2 separate regions of the Mus musculus genome follow, and region 1 is reported to be linked to region 2. The links are microRNA targets in miRTarBase. Many come from high-throughput screens and were not tested one by one. Region 2 holds a microRNA gene; the other region holds the end of a gene's coding sequence. Distances are between the middles of the regions.

Region 1 (3,535 bases), 77 Mb from region 2:
TCTCACAGCAATCTGCACTCACCCAGTCCCAGCACACAGACGCCCCAACCCTCAGCCATCCTTTCACCCTGCTCCTATACCACAGCAGTCTGCAGTCCTCCTATACAGAGCCCCCTGGCCACACGAACTTTCCATTATGCCTCTCCCACTGCGTCCCAGCTGTCACTCATGCAGCAGCCTCAGCAGCAACTACCGCAGTCCCAGGTACAGCAGACTCAGACTCAGACTCAGCAGCAGCAGCAGCAACAGCAGCAGCAGCAGCAGCAGCAACAGCAACAACAGCAGCAGCAGCAGCAGCAGCAGCAGCAGCAGCAGCAGCAGCAGCAGCAGCAGCAGCAGCCACAGACACCTGGTAGCTCCACACCGAAAAATGAAGTGCACAAGAGCACACAAGCCCTTCATAACACCAACCTGACCAAAGAAGTCAGGCCCCTTTCCGCCTCGCAGCCTTCTCTGCCCCATGAGGTCTCCACTTTGATCTCCAGACCTCATCCCACTGTGGGCGAATCCCTGGCCTCTATCCCTCAACCCGTGGCAGCAGTCCACAGCACTGGCCTTCAGGCAGGGAGCAGGAGCACAGTGCCACAACGTGTCACCTTGTTCCGACAGATGTCCTCGGGAGCCATCCCCCCCAACCGAGGAGTGCCTCCAGCACCCCCTCCACCAGCAGCTGTGCAGAGAGAGTCTCCCTCAGTCCTAAATACAGACCCAGATGCAGAAAAACCCCGTTTTGCTTCGAATTTATGATTCTTGATGATTGTCAAAGCAGAAAAGAAGTACTCTAATAAACAGAATATTCTCAGATATTATTTTATTCTATCTCACGATAGATCCCTATAGCCTACTCTGAAAAAAAAATATTTTAGAAGCTGTGGCCTACATGCAAATGTAAAAACATATATACATATATAATTAAATATATATATATATATATATATCTAAATGCCCAAGAGAAGTTCAAAAGACTTGTATAACATTCAGTGTTACATGTCTTCCTCTCTTTAAAACCATTAAAGGATTTAACACATTGTTGTAAGGTCATTGATTTCTAACCTTTTACTTGATTCCTTTGATATATGTGTTTCTCCCTTTTATGAAGAGTTCTTGGAGTCAATGGAAACAAAACTCTTGATTTTAAAAAAGGCAACTCCAATTAGATCCAGCATAGCACCAATCAAAGCTTTCTTTCATTAGCTGTGCCTCTGCGTCTAGGTTGTTAATTATGCGGGATTCAATAAACAAATCCCAGTTTATAGCTCTCAATTGTATTTTGGTGCTTTAAATTTTGAGTTAGGTGAAGGAACACGCTCCATGCTCAGCCACCGTAGGAGACTAACATTGCCATTAAGGCTTCCTCTAACCTCAAACATGTTCATTGATTTTGTGAGAAAAGTGAGGAGATATTTGTCTTCATGTGTCACTGGACTTTTACCAAGACGCAGTCAATGTTAGCTGTAAATAACTTTCCCAGCCCGAATTAAAGTAACTATTCTGTGTTGTAGAAAGGTAAAAGTCAGTGTTTAAGAATTTAGTTTTACTGCTTCACTTCAAAAGTTAGAGTTTTAAATTTCACAAAACACTCTAATTGTGACAGCTGTTCAAATGTAATGCAATGGCTTGAGACCTACAATATCATTTTTAACCTGCGATACTTTAATGCAAAAATTGTATGCTTGAACCTACAAATTGCTTGTATGACACCAAAAATCATTACTTTTATTCCTTCTTGACATAATCAAGCACCTGAACCTGGTCCTGGCATGCTTTCGGGGGCAAAAAAAAATAAAATAAAATAACTTAAAAAAAAAAGTAGATTCAAATCAATCATTGTAAGAAAAGGCTGACAGTATTTCTCACTTCTAGATGAGTATAACTATTCATTAATTGCCTCTCTTAAAATTCTTAAAAGGCTGACTTGGATCTCTGACTTAAATCTAGAAGTGAGGTTTTCACTTTCATTTGATATTGTTGCTGTTCTTATTGTTTAAGCAATCATTTGCAAACCATAGCTTGTTTTGGAGTTAAAGGTGTTATGTGTCTTCATGTTAGTTGGTAGTTTATTGTGATGTTAATGTGAAGAAATAAATACTATATATCACCACATCTGTTTGGAAATACACATTTTGCCCTTTGTATATTGTAACTAAGCAGTTAGTAAATCTTAAGGCATGTGGTAACCTACATAGTCCTTAGATAGACAGGAGGTTTGTTCTTTCAAATGTGCTGAAACTTATATGGACTCCGTGAGGGGAAGCAGGGGGGAATTGAGCTGTCTGAAAGCATTGTCTGTTTGTTCACTTGTTTCCTTAATTCTTTCTGTGAGCATCATGGAGCCTAATCTAGGGAAGTCCCTTAGCGATCTTGCTTCATGTGTGTTTGCTGCACCTCACACAAGTGGTGGGTGAGTAGAACACAGTAGCAGGCTCTCTAGTGCCTGACTTCTGTACGTAACTCAAGAGAGTGAGCTGATATGGAGGTCTTTGACATTACAGGCACAAATGATCTATTTAAGAACATAAAGACCATACATTCTATTGGGACAGGGCCTCCAGGTATCCTTGAGGACCAAGAACAAAAGTAGAAGCAAGAGGTTTAAAGTGGATCTACATTGCCTTTTATGAAACCAAAATGAGTCGTTGCACTTAATTGCTAACGGATCCTACCTTGTGTGAAACAATCAGCAATGCTAGGTAACGTGATGTCATTCCTGTAATGCTAGTGACCAATGGTATCCTGTTAGGAATGATGTAAGAGAGAGATCCTGCAGCCTACGTAAAATCTATGGGAAAGTTGCAAGACCTATCACATATCAGTACAAAACTCCTTTATTTTATTAAATTTAAAAATTAGCTTCTTGTTAAGATCATGTACTAGTCCTTTAAATTATTAAAGGTCTACCTTTGGCAGGATTAATGCATTTCGTAGTAAAATATTTTTATATATCAATTTTTTGAGCACTATTGGAGAACATCCGCAAAATTGAATTGCATGGTTATTCAGTGCAACCAATAAAATTTTTATTCACTTTGTACTCGAATGGACAAAGAACACTAAGGTTTATATGTTAAAGTAACAAAACCATACAGGGTATATTAAATACACATATGTATGAATGTGTGTGTTTGTAAAGGTACAGTGCTAGGAGAACATGACCTTTTTTCTCTGTACATAGTTAAGCTCAAGTACGGAGTTTTAATCTGTACGGGAAGAGCTGTATTGGGGTCTTTTACTGCTGAGAAAGTAGAACAATAACTTATACTTTGCACTGTATGACCAGGGAAGAGTTAGAGTATTTCTTTTGTCTTTGCTCAAAGCCATACATATATAAATATATATTAAGATTATTAATAAATTCAAAAGAAAATAAACCAAATTATGAATATTTTATTTTGTTGTTGAAATCTAATCAAATGTTTAACTCATTGAGGAGTACAGATTTGCTTGTTGTTCTCTCTTTGTATAATCTCCAAAAAGATTTGTTTTTGAAAATCACCATACAATTGTTATAGAAATTCTACAGATATAGAATGAATGT
Region 2 (3,000 bases):
AAACTGCCAGGTAAGTTGAATCTTGCCTACTTAGACATTCCTGGTCAGTGGCTTCACAGTTATTGGGAAGCAAAGCCTAGGAGAGGATAGGTCACGGACAAAAGCTGTCCTTCAGGGACCTTTCTCCACCTAGGTTTCACCTCCTGACATTTCCACCATCTTCCAAACTGATGCCGCTGTGAAGCCATTGCTGAGGTCAAAGCCCCCATGATTTGATCTCTTCCCAAAGGCCCCACGCATGAACACCGCTGCCTTAGGAACAAAGCCTTGAAACACTTGAGTTTTTGCAAAGATGTTTCAGTTCCAAACTAGCACAGGGCCTGAAAAGGGGGTTCGGGTTCGGGGAGAGTTTGGTGATGGTGAGCCTGGAGAACAGGCTCTACCTGTTTCCAGGTTCCATTGACCTCTAGGCCAGACTCTGGACCCGCCCTGTTTTATCCCATAGTCTCTCTCCTGGATCCTGGACATGGCTGGCTTACTGTATTTTTATCTTAAGCGCTGCCCATGTTGTAATCCATTGAGACTGGTGCACTCCTTGAGCGCAGGTGCCAGGACCCAAGCTTTAAGTGATGGAAGCAGGAAACGGATCTGAACCACAGTAGTCTAGGGAATGTGGCTCATTTGTGGCCTATAATGTACCTGAGAGCTTACATCCATAGGAAACTTATGCTTCCCAAACCAATTGGGCTCATGAAATTTTTGAGATCACTGAGTCTATGGCCAGAGCTGTATGAGAGAAAAATCAATCAATCGGGGGTAGGGGATACATTTTACTACTAGTTGAGCTTAAATGATCTCTGTTTCGTATATGTATGAGAAAGGGGACCAGTTAGTTAGAAGACCCATGAGCTCGTTTGTGGGTTTGTTTTGTTGGTTTGTTTGTTTGTTTTGTTTTGTTTTGTTTTTTGAGACAGTGTCTCACTATATAACTCTGGCTAATCTGGAGCTCACCTACATATACCAGGCTGGGCCTTGAACATAAAGATTTTCCTACCTCTGCCTTCAAAGGGCTGGGACTAAAGGCATATGCCACCAGTCTGGCCTTCACCCGTGAGTTTTTTATAAGTACACAGTCTCTTAAGAGGGAACCAAGGTTCCTGCAGACTTCACTCACCTGTTATGTAGGTAGGTTACCAAGGAAACGAGTGTCATCATTTCTTTATAAATTTTATAAAGAGAAAGGGGTTCACTGTGTCTTGAATGCCTTACCTTACTCTATTCTCCCCTTTGCTGGCCTCTGGCTTTGTTCCATGATAGTCTGTGGTCCTGCACACCCTATAAGCCACTTCCTTTTTCCTCCTTCCCTAGCTGAGGTACAGAATTATTTCCTAGTTTTCTTGCGAGAGTACAATTCACACCTGTGTCATCCCGATGTCAGATACTGACAGGACTCAAGGCACAGAGACGTTCACTCACTACATTTTAAGCGACGATAATGAGGGTCTTAGTCGCAGGAAGTTACAACATAAAAAGTGAACCAACAGAATTGAAGACTACCAGAGGTTTTGACATTTTAATTAATTATTTTTTTAATTGTTATTTTCCTATGTCAGAAATTGATGGGGACTAGAAAGGTGGGTCCAGTGACTAAGAGCATTTGAGCACTTGTTCTTGCAGAGGACCCAAGTTCAATTTCTAGCACCTATATGGTGGCTCACAGCAATCTGTAACTCTAGCTCCAGGGGATTGTACAAGTGTGGTGCACAGCTGTACACACACACACCAAATGCCCACCCACAAAACAACAAACTAAAATTTTGTTTAAAATTATCCCAATGGATAGTTGAAATGACTTGCCTACATTTTGTGGGTCCACATTCACTGCCGGGGAAAATGGGTTGAGGTAGTCTCAGAGATATATCAGGCAGTAAAGTCCTTGCCTTGCAAACACCAAGACCAGAGTTCTATCCCCAGAAACACGTCTTTGCTATTTAAAGGCAGTTGTGGGGCACACTGGCAAACCTGACCAAGCCCACTCAGTCAATCAACAGGTTCTCCAGCGCAGGAGTGAGGATTAAAAAGAAAAAAGACAGTTAGACAACATTGTAGCATGACCCTGGTCAATTCTGAGACTGAAGGCAAATTTAATTTTCCCAATCCACTTTTTATACCATTTTAATTACATGCAAGTATTGAAGGCAAGCAGTACAATAAGGAAATAACAAGGCAGTAAGCAAAGTCCGGGAATTACTGCCATGACAGTTGTTTAAAAGGGCTTGTTATAATGACCAAAATACTTGAGCCCACTTCCCAGTCCAAGCCCCAAATCTTGCCTGAAGTTTACTTCTTTTGTTGCACCCTAAGATTAAAATTCCTGCCTTAACCCCACTTCCCTATTGTAGCCTAAAGTTAGATTCTCGTGGAGACTTACTTCCTTATCATGGCCTAAGGCCAGATTCCTGCCTAGGGGCACCCCAAAAGACCATCCACACAAACCTCAGTGCTGATGGGGGGGCTCCCTGGGGAGCCCACTTAAATACTCGGCTGGAATTCAGGCCAATAAGAGACCTTGTTTTAAAAAGGACCAGCTAGACAACACCTAAGGAATCCCACCAAGAATGCCTCACACGCCTGTGTAGTCTCACCCACAGGAACACGAAGAAAATGAAGCAGGTTGAACACTAGGGATCCTGTTGGCCCTTTCACCTTTTAGGGTCTCAAAGGCTCAAACAGAGACACGAGGTGATTTGTATATTTCATTGTAAGCAGCAATTTCTTCCTTCTTTCTTTCTTCTTCTATTAATTAATTGATTAATTAATGAATCTATTAATTGGTTCTTTGACACAAGGTTTCTCTGTGCCCTGGCTGTCCTGGAACTGGTTCTGTAGACCAAGTTGGCCTCGAACTCATGGAGATCCACCTGCTTCTGAGAGCTGGAATTAAAGGCCTGTTCCATTACACCAAGCTTTCCTTCCTCCCTCCCCCCTCTCTTCCTCCTTCTTTCTTTCTTTCTGTTTTTCAAGACAGGGTTTCTCTGTGTAGCCCTGGCTGTCCTGGAA

The links. Region 2 holds the annotated microRNA mmu-miR-5124a (GGUCCAGUGACUAAGAGCAU, at 1,578-1,597, shown strand). A microRNA usually pairs through its seed, bases 2 to 8, with sites in the 3' UTR of a target mRNA and lowers its output. Matches are read on the target gene's strand: a 7mer-m8 pairs with bases 2 to 8, a 7mer-A1 pairs with bases 2 to 7 and ends in A, and an 8mer does both.
Region 1: the mRNA of Hcn1 is a reported target of mmu-miR-5124a. Seed matches in the 3' UTR shown: 7mer-m8 at 1,420-1,426.

The regions. Positions count from the first base shown.
Region 1 is chr13:117,975,488-117,979,022 of GRCm38, forward strand. Hcn1 (hyperpolarization activated cyclic nucleotide gated potassium channel 1) reads left to right here. Exons shown (of 8, transcript NM_010408.3): 8 at 1-3,535. The coding sequence ends at 747. Among named protein-coding and RNA genes, the nearest start is that of Gm3474, 18 kb to the left of the region's middle.
Region 2 is chr13:40,864,224-40,867,223 of GRCm38, forward strand. It overlaps Mir5124a (microRNA 5124a), which reads left to right and starts at 1,568; the gene lies at 1,568-1,639. It also overlaps a transcript of Gcnt2 not described here.